Linked DNA regions of Caenorhabditis elegans. The protein of the gene in region 3 purifies or fractionates together with the protein of the main gene of each other region. This does not show direct contact. Each region holds a gene or a part of one and is shown on either strand. Other genes may lie near its edges.

Region 1 (6,171 bases), on a different chromosome or scaffold from region 3:
GAAAACATGAGGTTCTGGAAGCTTTTCCGCCGGTACAAAAATGTCTTCGAAGAATTGAATTGTTAGACAAAGACCTTGTCGTGATGAACCAATCACTTTGGCCTCAATAACTTCATCGACAAATGGCCGAAAAACGATCATACGGAACTGAAGATTTATTTCATTTCTCAAATACGACTGTACATTGATTTATTACCTTAACTCTCGCTCTACAATCTCCTTCGCCGGGTAAAATGTACGAATCACCAATTTCATTTATATCATAGACACAAATACAGAGACCAAGATCCGGAATAATTTTGTTGGCGAGACGTTCATTGAGCCGTTTTTTGATAACAATTTGCTGATCAGAGCTCAATTGATGAGGCTGAATAGCCACCGTATCGTGCAGTAGAGAAAGAATGAACATACTGTAAATATTAAACATTTTCCTTTTATACGGCATCAGTATCAGCAGATATTGAATGGAAGCTTGAACTATATTCTCAGAACCAAATATAATGAAATAAAAATAATAAAAAAGAAAATTTATAAGTAATTGTTTAAAAAAGTACGATGGGATTGCTACTTATAAATTAGACCACACAATGTCAGACATTGGATAGATTAACAAAAATTATTCTTCAACAAAAAATCAAACAACAAGATATTTTTCATAAATTTTCCTAGCGGCGAAATTGTTTCCTGATGTTCGGTAGATTAAAGCCAGGTTGTGAGCAGCCATCTTTCTCAGGTCATATCTGAAATTTTAATAGTATTTCTACAGACAGAAATTTCTAATTTATTTTTAAAATTGTCTTACTTCATTGCTGGAATAATAACCTCATTGCCATCTTCATCAAAATCAAACACACACGGCGGATCAACCTCCAATACTTTATCATAAAAATGTTTGGCGAGAGGGAGAATCGACATTTGATGGAACATTCTGGCAATGTTATAAAAGACTTCTTGTTGGCAAGCCCGTGCTTTTGAATACTTCTTCATAAAAGCAATTCCTCGGATTCCGATGAGGTGTCTACTTGAGAGATCCTTCTTACAAGACATATGAGTGAAAGTGAGAGCAAGCAGCATACAGATGAGTGGATTTCGTTTATTGGCTACCCATACTCGAAGATACTCTCCCATTGCATGTCGGTATGTTCCCGTGATAAGTGAATTATTGCCTGAAATCGCTTGAAGAGCATGATTATCTTTAGCTTTGACGAGTGCTCTCATGATAAATCGATGGTAGCAGACATTCTGAGAGTTGACGAATACGTAGTTCATTGCATTGAAAAGGCGTTTTTGGAGAACGTCAGAGAATGAGCCATTTTGAGGATCGCTGACTGCCTGGAAATTTAAATTACTTAAATGCGTCCAATAAGATACAAATTGTTACCAAAGAAAAAGTGTGAAAGAATCTAACATATTCAAATGCCAAATTCCAACATCTTGCTTTGATTGCACAAAAATATACTAAATTCTGGAAAGTGGAGATTCTGAAAATTTTGTAATGTGTGGAAAATTTTGAACAAATTAGCTCACTTGTCGGCTTTGAAAAGAGTTGGATGTAAAAATGCATAACAACAGACAATGAGTGCGTCTTGATGTTTCTCCATTTTATTTAAACATTCGATTAACTTCAAACAGTAGTCATGTATCTGAAAATTAAAAATTTACACAATCAAATGTATGCTCGAATAATGATTACATCTGTTCCCGAAAGCGATGTTTGAAAAGTCCCATTGGCTTCTACAGTTGCTCCCAGCCTTTTGACAAGGCGTTCCCAATTTGTATGTTTAACAACTCCAAAAGCACAAGTTTTCAAAGTATTACTGAGAGCAGGTGCTGGAAATTCGTATTGAAGACAATTAAAATGTTATTTCACTTACTAGTCGTTTTTCCTTTGGTAACCCGTCGTTTCTTCAAAATATCTGGAGAAATATAGACTTTGTAGAAGTGGGGAGCCAGCATCATTCTCGTGATCCTTACAAACTGCTCAGAATCTCCTGCTTCGAATAAAACGTCTGCTCGACGAGCAAGAAGACGTTCATCTGGCATCGATGAGCAGTTTTCCAGGTCATAATTTTCCAAGGTTTCGAGGGCTTTTTCGAAAAACCCAGATTTTTGCTGGAGAGTTGACAAATGGATACGATTATCAATATGATCCGGTTGTAGTATCAGAACTTTATTGAATGCTTCCATTGCTAGATCATCATGCTTCTGCATCATTTCAAGACTTCCTTTCAGATACCAGTAAGCACCAGATGCTTCGTTGTTGTAACAAGGATTTTTGGTCAATTGATCCAGGAAGTTCTAAAAAAAACTGTATTTTGTTATTACATAATATTTCTCACCATTGCAAGTTTCGGATGTCCTCTGTTCTTGTAAAGCCTTGGCACATCTAGAATAAATCCTTCATCTTCTTCTACATTGAAATTTCTTTTCAATAATTTATGTTCCAACACGGAAGACTGTTCGACTTCATCCAAACTGAAGAGACAAATGACGAGATGGCAGTGCATACTGACTGGAAACAGATTGACATCAATATCATAATCGATATCGCTTCCGACAGGTGGAAAAGGCAAACATTCATATGTTCCATTTGTGTAAGTTATCTGAAATAATTTTATAAATTATTATAAACAACACAGTGATAGACTTTATGAACAACTTACAAGGCATGCGGGATCCTTTGTTGTAGAACGAATTGCTTTGACACCATTGCACATTGCCAGAATTGACATTCCAGCTTGTCGGAATTTGCTCTTTGCTAAATACATTCCAATGAGAGTTTCATGTTGTGGTTCTGCATCTCGTTCGAATTCTTTACTCCGGAGAACAAATGCTTCGAGAGATTGAATTGCTTTCTCTTCATCATTCATTGTAATGTAGTACTGAGCGACTTTGCGAATCAAATCATGAAACCACTCAAAATCCACTTGTAAAATTTCATTGTTGATCAATTGAGCAGCTTGTAGACGAGTACGCATTGCGAGAGGTCGTAGGTTCAGCCGATCAAGCATTTCAATTCTTTTTTCGTAAAACTTCCAATTCTCATTATTGAGATGAATAGCTCTATCGTAACAAACGGCAGCTTCTTCAATCATTCCGAATTTTTCAGCTTCATCTCCCCAATGTACCCAGTCATCTGGTGGAGTCTTCGGATCTAGATGCGATGCCAGTAAACCAAATTGAAGAGCTTTTTGATGATCTCCTAACTGTTCATATACAGTGGCTATCTGTTGATAAGCAATCGCATGTTTATGATCCTGTTTAATTACTTCTCGAAGAATTTCCATGGCATCGGTGATATTTCCACGAGCAGCTAACACGTTTGCCTGACCCAACATAGCATCCAATCTTTTCAATTTTCCTCGATCTCGAGGTTCTGCATTTGTGGCTGGAGTTTCTGTACTTGTAGAATCTGCTTTCTGGCCTTCTATTTTTACTTGTTTCAGAGGAGGAGGTTCTCTTTCTTCAGTTTCTACTTCATATTCAACTTCCATTTCATCGGAATGGTTTACCTGTCCTTCATCTTTACCAGACATCATCTGTAACCTTTCTCATTCTAGTAATATCGATAGTCTAACAATGCAAACCTGTGTCATAATATATCGAGCTTCTTCGGGAAGAGCGTCGTAGCGATCAGAAGGTCCTGCAGACTGAAAAGAGTATGAACTTCCAGCATGTTGAGAAGTTGACACTTCTTCAACGTCTTCCATTAACTCTACATCTTCATCGTCCTCTTCTTCATCATCATCTGCAGTATCAATTTCTTCGACTTCGTCGACCACATTGTTTCTTGCCGATCTTTTTTGCTTTGCTCCTAACTCTTCCTTGAGAGTTTGTCCTCCAGTAACCCGCATAAATTGATCATAGTCATATTCATTTCTCATGAATCTATTGATAGCGTTCACTAATTCTTCATCATCAATGGCTTCAGCTGGCTCTTCTACTCTTTTTCTATTCCCGGACCCATTGTGTAATCCAGTAAGATGAGGTTTTGTATCAATTCCAGCAATAATTCCATTTGTATCATCATCATCATCAAAATCGTATTCTTCTACTTCAGGAACATCAGAACCTTGTTCTAAAATATTACCGTACTCTTCTTCTTCCTCTATTAAGAAATCGGAAGTTGATGGTTGATTTGGATCCATGTTTCTTCAAGCAATAATACTATGAAAAAGAAGTTTGTGATCTGTTTTAAAATAAAAAGAAGCGATCGGTACGCGATGAAAATTTGAATTTCGACCATTAACTCTAACATTCATGTTTTATAAAAAAAAAATTGAAAAATGTAGAAATAACAAGTGTAACAACGTTGTACAAAAAATGGATAAAAACGAATAAAATTCAACAAAATGTACCAAATATTTCAACAAAAAAAACAAATCAATTGTACTCCATAGGAAGTCGATTTGGTCCGGAGAAGGGCTCGAATGGGTCGAAGGTATCGATATTCTGATGGGTGCGGTTCTGATATCCACCTCTTCGGCTTCCTCCGTGGAAATTTCCGCCGCGTCCACGCTTGAAACCACCGTCTTGACCTCCATCTTGTCCTGGTCTTTTCTGAAATCATTTATTTTGAATCTGAATAAATATTGAACCACTAACTCTGAAGATATTATGATTCGAGCCTCCTCCACCTCGATTGGCGCCTCCGCGATGAAAGCCTCTACCACCACGTCCTCTACCGCCGCCTCCGAATCTTTGATTTCCTACACCTCCGTATTTGGTTTGAATCTCAGCAAGTTCTTCCATAGACAATAACTGCATACTTTCAATAAATTCGTCCTTCATAGTAATTACTAATTTTGGAAAATCTGCAACGACTCGAGTTCTTGTCATTTCAAGAATGGTGCTATCAGTAATAATTCCGTAGTATCGTTCTGGATTTGCGTGAACTTCCATATAAACGTTGACATCGTCAATTCCGCGATCAATAAACGGCTTGAGCTTCTCAACGTCGAGGTCGCTTTCAGAGACAATGCATCCATATTGGCGGGGTTTGAAGAATTGCTTCAAAACTGTTGCTACTCGAATTGTTTCAGGAATATTGTTAACTATCTTTTCGAATACTTCTATACCTCCGTCCGCGGTTTGTTTTTTGAATGATAGTTTCAAAGTCCAAAAAATAGTATCAGAATGTTGCTCGTGTCTGCTCTCATTTTCTTGTTCGCCAACAAATCCTAACCAAATATGACGGAATCGAGCCGCGTTGAGAAGATATCTCTCGGTGGGAGAGTTGGTCTAAATTTCGATATTTATGAAGCTGACAGATACTACTACTTACTGTATATCGAAGTGCATTCGGATCAACTGGTTTCTCTTCTCCATCCGAACTATTCACATCATTACCGACACCACCAACTGGTTCAGCTCCTAACCCAACTTTCTCTTTCATCAGGTGCATGAATTTCTGATCATCAATTGACTTTTGTGGATCATATTGAGACAATTTATCTACCTTGGTAAACGCTTGCCGTACTCCATCACACTGAATAGTCAAATAAAATTGCTTTTTTCAAACGTGAACAACTTTACATTATTATCCGCTTTGTGCTTCTTTGAACAATCCAGTGAACATGTCCGCATTTCACATCTTGGGCATTTGTACTTGTGCTCGTTTTTCAAACAAACTTTACATAATTTTGGATCAATAGCGGGGATTACAGATTCCTCGTTTTCCACATTCTTTTGATTTTCAATTTTCCTCTTGTAGGCTTTGATAACGTCTTCAGGAGATTTTTCGTCTTCCGATGAGGGATAATTCACCAAAACTGAAAATTGTTTTTGTTTAAATTGATATCAAACTTGAAACTAACATTCAGAAGTTATATTTGGAATTTCCGTTGGTACATCATCATCATCGTCCAGTATTTCTCCGTCTTCCTGATAGTCTTCTACTTCTTTTGGTTCAGGAGTATGGCTCGTAGTCATATTACTGAAAATTCAATTACTCTTGCGACATTCGAAGTTTATTTAAATCGCAAGTAATAAAAGCCTATTTTTAGTTTAACATATTGAAATTTATATATTCTTTTAAAGAAATGCACTACAAAATGCTTGAGACGCCGAAAATTTAGCACCACATTTTTCGTTGTCTTCCAGATGTCAAACAAAATGGGCACGTGATTACAATCAAGCAAAATGCTAATCATTTTTGAAAAAAAATGGATA
Region 2 (5,262 bases), 3.2 Mb from region 3:
CTATTAAAATTTCTCCTTATTCAATTTACAACCATGACATCATAAACTGAATAATTTTACAACTAAATTATTTTTATCGTTCTTCAATTTCTTTTAATGACAAATTTTCAGAAATTTACTTTGCAGTGCACATAAACAGTTTTTCCTTTCGAGGCGACACTCTCAATAAATTCCACCGCTTCGTTGATCTCTGCTCTTGGCGCAGTTCCCGTAAAATCTTTCATCGGCACAGCAAAAAACTCGACACCTTCATTCTTCCAATCAACTTCTCTCATTGCATTCATCGCAGCTTTTAACTCGAATTCTTCAGTACAACATACGACTCCACCAACATTTTCCTTCTGAATGAGCTCATCCTTCATTGATCGGAATGGCATTGCTCCAAGAATAAGAGTCTCATCAACACGATTATACCAGGCCCATCGATTCGGTTGAACATAATTTCTGAATAAGTTATATCCCAATGATGGATAGAAGATCAAACTTGTAAGCATCTGGAAAATTTTTAAATTTTCTAGAGTTGTTTTATTATATTTCTGAAAGTTCCGAAAGATTAAATGGTTTAATTACCAACATTTTTAAAATCTTACTTCCCATCGAGAACCAGATTAGATTTATTCAGTGTAAAAAAAGAAAATCAAACGAATTAAATTGTTAAAAATAAATAGAAATGGAAAGAAAATTGGGAAAAGATCGGAAATTGAGGAAAAAGGTCAAATGAGGAAAAAGAAGATAAAACAACAAGAATAAATAAATAATAACAGTTCATCGACAGAGATGCATTTTCTACTATCAATCTACTCATTTTTCTTATTCATCCGTCGTTTGTAGGCATCCCTGCTGCCAAGAGATCCTATTACAGCTCCCAAATGACTATAATCTTCCTCATCATCTGAATCTCCGCGCTTTCGTTTCAAATCGGACAGAGCTGATGAACGAACGACCTGAAAATTATATTTGAGGAATTAGCTTTTTTTTTTGAAAACTAACTGCTGATGGATCTGACGTTGTTGCTAACAATTGATACATATCTTTTTTGACGTCTTGTTCCAACATTGGGCCAAGCATATTGTCCTCTGACTTTGGATCTGAAATATTAAAAATTAATACAAGTAACTAACTTAAAAAAAAAATTACATGAAACGTTTGGAAGCTGCATATTATTGATCATATTGCACAACAATTCCACATTGATAAATGGTCCAATAAAACAAGTTGGAGGAGGAAGAAGAGACATGAGATGTGCAACTGATTGTGGTGGTGGAAATACGCCTCCAGGTACCGGATGAAACGATGCCGTACAATTGACTCGTGGTTTGAATGGAATCATTTGTGATATGTCGGGTCTTGGGAAACCGTATCGTGCCACGTCTGCGTGTCCACCAGCTCCACCCATAATTGCACTGGCTGCTTGTGGTCCATGAGTTGGAACATTCTTTGAACCAACGAATGATGGTCCGGCGATGCTTTCCGTACCCTTCTGAAAATGAATTTGTTTCTTTTTGAAAACTTTCAGTTAGTAATACTTTGAATAATCAATAAAAAGCTATATATAATTGTAAAATTTCACTTACCAGTGCATTATATCCAATAAGTTTCAGTTGCTCTCCACTGCACGGCATTAGATCCATAAACTTATATCTATCAATCACAAGCATAGAATGGTTCATTGTCTGATCTTTTTGAGCTTCCTCGTATGCCGTTTTTCGCCTCTTTTCAACCTTGAGAATAGAAGCAAGATCACCAACACAGCTTTCAAAGTCCAAAAATCGATCCCAAATCCGGCTGGAAAATATTACTATTAAATTATCAATTAATTCGATGAAAAAACTCACATGGACTTGTCGGCGGGGAGCTTTGACGATGTCAAAATCCTTTCGAAAACTACTCTCGTGTTGTTATCTTCATTCAGATTAGACAAAAAATCGGCGTAGGCCAGACCGAATTCTGGCTCATTTTCATATTTCTTCAATCCTAATTTGAATACTCGGATGGCAACTTCTTTATCCTTCATACAATTGTATTCCAACAATGCAGCAGCTACAAATACTTGATATCCTGTTCGTTTATCCTCTCGTGCCCTTTTGAAAACCAGTCGAGCGTTATTAGGTCCCTCAGACCTTCTGATAAATCTCATTAATTGCACATAAGTTAATGTTGGATTGATATGTTCAATTCCTAACAATCTATCATAAATGTTCTTGACTGCTTCAAATTGTTTGTGCTCTTCTTGGAAATCGGCGTATGCAAAATATAGAAGCTTCGATTCTTTCATCAATCCAGTAATTGCTCGCTCATAGAGACCTGAATAAACTTCAAGATTAAGTAATAAATATGTTTTAGGCAACTCACTAATTGTTTCCAATTTCAACACTTGTGCCATCTTAACATCTCCCTTCTCATCCAATGTATGACTAGCTTCTTGTAAGAACATTGCTGCCTCATACCAAATATCTGGGTAGTAACCCAAGCAGAGAAGTGATTGTTCGTAAGTATACACAACTCTCCTCGCATGTTGCCCGTATTCTTCGGTTTGTAAAGGATTCGTTTTCTCCCATGCAATCAAATTTTTCCATAACTCAACTTGTTTGAATTCTGTGGCGGTTCCTTTAGGTGGCACTGAAACCGCTTGCCGATTCAATCCTCGTGTCATTTGTTGTAAATCTTTTTCAACTCTTCGAGCATTCTGATATTCTTTTCCTCGTTCAGCGATCAGTTTTTCTGCTAATGTAATATTGATCGCCTTCTCGTAAGTGCAATAGTCATTCCAAATCAATTCTAGATTGTGCATGGGAGTTGCCAAGGCTTTCTGATAAATTTTTCGAACTGCTGTGATTCGCTGATTTTCTGCATACTGTCCAACTGCCGGCCTGCAAGTTAATAAAATAATCAAATAACGTTTGTATAAAACTTACACTTTCTTCAAAAATGCTATGTATTCTGTGAAGATTGAGTAAGCCTGGACATCCATTCCAACTTTTTCTAGTGCGAAATCGTAAGCTTTAGCCATTTCTTCACGATATTGATCCCTCTGTCCTTTCGTTTCGAATACGTAATGAATATAGCATTTCCACAGATCTATGTTGAGAACAGACACAAGACATCTACTGAATAACTGAAAAAGAAAACTATTAAATTTATCAAATACCGGGATAAATTACCTTCTCCACATTTTCGAAATTTTTGGAACGAAGCTGAAAACTTTAATCATTTTTATTTTTCTAATTTCTATTTTGTAATACCTCGTGCTCGATGTAAGCTTTCCAGTACCGTCCGGAGTTAGGAAATTGTTTTACAAGACTTTCGTAAAAATCTCGTTCTTGGTCAATCGGTCGTGACTGAAAAATGAACGGAATAGACGTCGATTCAATTTGTTGTCAAATGTCTACCTGATGTTCTCGGAGCAGTAAATTCCACGCGTCTACGTCGAATGGATTTGTTTCAATCCGACGCTCTGGGTTACGCATGCTCAACCCAGACATCTTCTGAAAATAAATAGCAATACTATCTTGTTCAAATCAAGGATAATTTCATAGAATGTGAAATTGTGCAAACACAGTGCATCAAATTTGACGCGCAATGCAGACCGAAAGTGGAAAATGAGGAAACTCGCCAAAACATCAGATACATTTTCTCAAATGGATAGAAGACCCTTTAAATAGCTTTTTCTGTACTATTACTCTTGTTTACTTATTACTGGAATTTCCAGATAGCATTAAAATATTTTCTTTGAAAATGAATCGAAGCCAAAACAAATGGAAAAGAATCAACAATTTATTTGTAATTAATAACAATTTAGTTGACGGTCTCGTCAGTGTGCTTTCCCTTGAGGATTCCAGTGACGCGGGAACGTCCGGCAGCCTTGCGCTCAACGAGGGCACGACGATCCTTATCGAGCTTCAGCTTGGTGATAGCGACCTGAACATAATTTGGGTTAAAGAACGAACTCGGTCACTTCAAAATATAATAAACTTTTCCTAGTCCGAATGCAACATTAAGAATCATGGAACTCACAAACCTGACAGTTGTGATGAGTCGATGTGCACCGGAACTAGTTTATACAAACCTCACCTTCGAAGGGTGGATTCCGATGTGCACAGTGGATCCGTTAGCCTTCTCGCGGGTGATCTTGTCGATGTGGATAACGAACTTCTTACGGTAGCATCTGAGGACACGTCCAGTGTTTCCCTTATGGCGTCCGCGCATAACGACGACCTCATCATCGGTTCTGAAATCAAAAATTGTTTTAAACTTATGGCTAACAAAGCGAAAATATGTTTCAGCGTCATTGCAAAAAGAGTAACATTCATTTCTCCATATTGTCCAAACCGTACGTGAAAATTTCAACGTACGGGACTACTTAATGGAAACAGTAAAGTTTTTCTATTTAAAAAAACCAACCTGATTGGAATAGCACGGATTCCGTGCTTGGTGCGGAGCTCCTTGGTGAGTGGGGCAGACATGATGCGTCTGCGCTCGTGGGATGGAGCGTTGAAGTGGGCCTTGCGGCTCTTTCCGGAATCGCTGGAGACGAACGGATTGACCTTCATTATTACCTGAAAAAATAAATATTATATTATGTAACAATAATAAAATTACGGTGGTAGAAAGTATAATTCAAATTCGAGAATAAAAAATATTCTCGAATTACAAGGAGAGCACACATGCAGGTTGAAAACTCATTAATGTTAGAGACAATTACATGCTTGAAAATAAAAAATACCGACAAAATTCCTAAAAAAATTTAGGCCAGTGAGAAAAACGTCGAGGAAAATTTAGTTTGAGGCAGCCGACTACGATTTGAGGGGAGATCGCTGCGAGACCCACCGCAGGGGAAACGGCATGCGCCTTTAATATAAGTTTAAATTTTGCAAGGAATTTATTGCGCTTTGAGGATTTTCGAATATTTATTCAAGGAAACATACTTTAATAATGAAGCCAGATATCAAAGATCGTGAATACATGTATCGGCTGATTATTGGGTAAGTTATCTCGCGCTAAACAAGCAAAACTAAAAAAGTTCATACTTTCAAAAACTTATTTCAGGCAGCTTTTCTACGATGGTCATCAACAAATTGCCGTCAACCTCGCAAATACTTTGGGATGTTCTGCTCCAGCTCCGCCGCCTTCAGATAAATTGTTCAGACTGGTCACAATTGCAAAGCAATTTGTAGAGGATCCAGATTACAAAGCCGAAGAAAAATCCTCGCCGGTAAGTTTCATTTTTTACGATTTGGTCACAAAAACGTCACAAAATGCCTG
Region 3 (4,065 bases):
AATAGAAAACGCTTTCATGTAACATTCATGAAAACCAAATCACAAGGGCTAGAAAAATTTCATGAATGAAATTTTTGAACAAAATCCATTGAAAACTAAATGTTTTTGTTGAAAATTCACGGGGATTAAGTTCATTTTTGGATATATTTTTGAGCACATGGTGAATAACAATTATTTCCATTAAAACTAAAGTTTCAATAATCAAATTCTTTCGAAAAATTGACCAAAAAAATTGGTTTCCGTCTTAATTCAATTATTTGTTAAGTTTCCAACACATTGAATTGAGTTTTAATAATATTTATTAATTTTAAAAAATTGAAATAAAGAAATAGTTAAACCAGAAAGTATTACAACCGAATCAAGAAGATAATAGCACAAGTTAAAAAATTAAATTAAAGATTATTGAAATTAGGAACATAATATAATAGAAATTGTTAACACCAGAAATTAAGAACACCAGAAAATAATACAAATGAATAGAAATAAATAGAAACAAAAAATAGGAGAAATTCAAACAATTAAGCTCTTCTTCTTCAAGTTTTTGAGTAACGATTCCACTGAAGACTTCTCGGAAACATCCAATTTCTGCTTTTTTGGAACACTTGGAGCATTTTCTGATACTTTCCGCTTCTTGCTGACTGGATCCTTGCTCTCGGGCTTCTTGTACATTTTTCCTTGTTTCAGATCTTTCACAGAAATCGTCTGAGCCAAATCTGATCTCTTCACATAGGAAAAATCGGTTTCCACTGCACAATTCGCTTCAATATCTTTCACAGACTTTGCTTGATAATCGATGTTTCTCTTGAACTGCTGAATGTCCTTTGTCAAATCCAGATTCTTCACATTCTCATCAAATTGCAAACCAATGAACCAAACTGATTTCTTTGGATCCTTAGCAGCTTTGAACTTCTTTGGATTGATATGAGCAAGCTTGATTCCCTGATTCTTCTCCAAAATGAGCACAAGTTGTCTGATCCTTGACTCGAAGAATCCTCCAAACGCCAACTCATCCTTTTCAGTTTCAGCTGTCATTGACAAGGAAATGAAGTGCTTGTACCGACTGAAGAAGTTGATTTCTTCTAGAAGATCCATCCAATTGCAACTTCCATTCTGAATATTGTCGCATGTGATCAATGCATCCTTCATTTCTTCCTGGATCACTTTCATTGATGACCGTGACACATTGTGAGTTGAATTTTGCTGTGGGAATGCAGGAGTCACAATTGGCATCAAATGGTATCGATCAGATTGATTTCTTCTAGGATCCCAAACTAATTGATTGAGCTGAGCCAAATCCATCCGATCACTGCTGATGAAATCAAGAAGCACTGGAGCCGGCCATTTCCATGTGGAGAAAATGAAGAACACTTTCTGAATCAATTTGGATGGACTCGCGTTTGGATAAAGCTGACAAGCACGAGCAACCAGAATTGCCCATGTGATTCCTCCAAAGAAACCCATTGAATTCGAGTAGATTCCATGGTTTTTAGCCCACAATTTGATGGCACGAAGAGTGATGCAGAAGTTTTCCTGGTTTGGGACTAGCTTCAACAAATTCTCAGCAACTCGGCATCCATTCAGGCTTCTCACACTCTCTTGATCCAGATTCTTCAGAAGAGCGTCATCTAGGATATCCAAATCTTCAGGTACTTCCTTCAAGGCAAGTCGAGCAAAAAGAAAGTCGATTTCAATACCAGAGTACTTCATTGTCATGATTGGAACGAAAGCGTTTTCCACAGCGCACAGATTGGTGACTTCTGGATCCTTAGCGAGCATTTGCTTGAAACTGGAGAAGAAGTCAGCACGTGTGGCATGTCGTGGCGCCAGTACGAGTGTGTCGATGTCAGCTCCACTTGAATGAACTCCGAGGCGATACGAACCAAAAGCCATTAACTGTCCACCGGCATTGAACAATTGATCCTTTGGGTATCTTGCTTCTGTGATCTTTTGAATCCATTGCTTGACACATCCATTGAGCTTCTGCAGTACTTTGACTCGTTGTGATGTCTCCTCCTGTGGCTCATAACTGTTGTATTGATTGAGTGTTTTTTGAAGTGATGACGTCAGCTCCAAGTCTTTCGCATTTGGGAGAGCAGTGGAAATTGGTTGAGAAACTCCAAATGTGCGAGTGATTGGGACAGTGATGTTCACAGAGAGGGTATTTACAGATGTCATTTTACAAAGGGTAAATGAGAGATCGTAAAGTTTCTAAAAAATGCTAATGTTAGTAAGAGGATAGGAGAACGGGTAAAGAAGGGCAATAAAGGCGAAGAGTAAATGAAATCGTTTGAAAATCTTAATTTCAATTGGAAACACAAATTTTGGATTTTGGAATTGCACAAAAAAAACAAAAAGGAAATATTTAAAATGAACTGGTAAAAAATTCTTGTAAATTGCCCCACTAAATGAAAGAATTGCTAAAAAAAATTTCGTTTCAATTAAAAATAATCATTTTTGGAATATGCAAGTTGAATTTTGTTCTAAAGAAAAATCTACATTTTTGACAGTAAATTATTCTTGCAATAAAAATGAAGTTTGAAATAAAAGTTATGTGGGTACACAATTTGGAATGAAAATTAAAAGGTAAATACAATATTAATTTTAAAAATTTGAAAGGAAATTACAGAATTTAAAAATTGCAGAATATGTTTACAAAAATTAAAAATTGCTTTTCAAAAACATTCGGTTAGTCTGGAATTTACGAGAAGAATGGTGCAAAGGTTAAGAGGAAACGAACAACTTTGATAATTTAAGTTTAAATGAGTTTGGAAGAACAGTGAAGATTAAACAGGAGAAAACAAAAAAGGAGAGCATAATAACTAGACGACCATCCGTCGTGAAAACAGAAGATACAAATGACAGAGAGCACAATGATATAACGGACCATCTCCACTTATTAGTGGCAGCGTTCAATCGATTGATTAATGCGCAGCGTCGGGATAGATATCGATTATGCTAATTTGAATAATTTTTTAAAAAATCTACAGGTAGCAATCACCTTTTTCAAGTTATCAACTTATTGAAAAAAAAATCGTTGAAAAATGATTAAAATCGAAAAATATTGTTTAAATTTTTTTGGAAGTTTTGGAAAAAATTGGAATATGCACACAGCGTTTGATTCTAGAATGAGACAAACAATGTGTAAGAGTAAACTCATTCTAATTTCGTTCTATAAATTAATTTGAAAAAGCTTTGTGTGTATAGATTTATAGAATGAGTAACCCTGAAATGAGTAATTTGGGTGATTAAATTAAAAAAATTATAGAGTATTAACTTTAATTAAAATTAGTTCAGAAGAAAACAAAAAAAAGTAGAGCAAGAAAACCAGACGACCGTCCGGTGTGGTGACAGAAGATAGAAATGACAGAGAGCATAATGACATATGTCAATGACATCTTCCGTTCATTATAGTTGCAGCGTTCAATCGATTGGATAATCACGATAACTTTGCAGCGTCGAGGTTGATATCGATTCTGCTGCTAATTTTAAGAAATTGTATTCTAAACTTACAGATAAACATGAACAAATAGTTGCTGTTTCAATTTGAACATATGTTGCAATTATGAAAAAAAATCTACTAATTTGCATGTAAGTGGCCTATTCCATTCAATCCTAAAATGCGCTCTAAAAAAATGACTGAAAATTCACTTTTTATGCTTGAACTCGGCGGTTATGGAAGTTTTTGGAATACCGTTTTTAAATTCTGAAAGAACACAAAATTTGCAAAAAAGTTAGTTTAAACTTGTCTTATTATTTTCTCAATTCGATTGTAATACTTTCTGGTTTAACTATTTCTTTATTTTTTTATTTGTCCAATTAATAAATAATATTAAAATTCACTTCATTTTGTACAGTTTTCTAAAAACAATTTTTAAAAGGCATTACCAAAAAGGCCTATCAACTAAAATTTTTATGAATAACAATATATCACATTTGAAGAATAGTATAATTTTTCGGAAAGCTCTCCACATTCCGGCCGTCCATCTCAATGATTTTTCTATCAAAAGGACATTTGAATGGTTCCGTTGGCTTATGGATTCTCGTGATGCATTCGTGGCAAATTGT

What was found.
Region 1: the proteins of pap-3 (region 3) and tftc-3 fractionate together in Caenorhabditis elegans (co-fractionation; one large-scale study listed by BioGRID). This does not show direct contact.
Region 2: the proteins of pap-3 (region 3) and suf-1 fractionate together in Caenorhabditis elegans (co-fractionation; one large-scale study listed by BioGRID). This does not show direct contact.

What each region holds. Positions count from the first base shown.
Region 1 is NC_003283.11:10,206,193-10,212,363, forward strand, and holds tftc-3 (TPR_REGION domain-containing protein), read right to left. Parts: upstream 4,153-6,171; 5' UTR 4,149-4,152; coding exon 3,588-4,148; intron 3,540-3,587; coding exon 2,664-3,539; intron 2,604-2,663; coding exon 2,340-2,603; intron 2,299-2,339; coding exon 1,875-2,298; intron 1,831-1,874; coding exon 1,694-1,830; intron 1,644-1,693; coding exon 1,528-1,643; intron 1,482-1,527; coding exon 1,382-1,481; intron 1,333-1,381; coding exon 803-1,332; intron 741-802; coding exon 635-740; 3' UTR 524-634; downstream 1-523. Other genes in the region: rpc-25 (DNA-directed RNA polymerase III subunit RPC8), read right to left, coding at 1-147, 197-409; zhit-3 (Box C/D snoRNA protein 1), read right to left, coding at 4,384-4,560, 4,606-5,241, 5,285-5,488, 5,536-5,771, 5,817-5,931.
Region 2 is NC_003280.10:8,602,081-8,607,342, reverse strand, and holds suf-1 (Suppressor of forked domain-containing protein), read right to left. Parts: upstream 3,498-5,262; 5' UTR 3,483-3,497; coding exon 3,390-3,482; intron 3,339-3,389; coding exon 3,243-3,338; intron 3,195-3,242; coding exon 3,162-3,194; intron 3,116-3,161; coding exon 2,916-3,115; intron 2,871-2,915; coding exon 2,353-2,870; intron 2,305-2,352; coding exon 1,836-2,304; intron 1,786-1,835; coding exon 1,575-1,785; intron 1,481-1,574; coding exon 1,138-1,480; intron 1,089-1,137; coding exon 991-1,088; intron 945-990; coding exon 798-944; 3' UTR 599-797; downstream 1-598. Other genes in the region: F28C6.8 (Phosphatidylglycerophosphatase and protein-tyrosine phosphatase 1), read right to left, coding at 120-494; rpl-26 (Large ribosomal subunit protein uL24), read right to left, coding at 3,796-3,918, 4,072-4,228, 4,402-4,550; cpf-1 (Cleavage stimulation factor 50 kDa subunit), read left to right, coding at 4,933-4,982, 5,047-5,212.
Region 3 is NC_003280.10:11,814,401-11,818,465, forward strand, and holds pap-3 (Poly(A) polymerase), read right to left. Parts: upstream 2,176-4,065; coding exon 511-2,175; downstream 1-510. Other genes in the region: Y6D1A.2 (RING-type domain-containing protein), read right to left, coding at 3,928-4,065.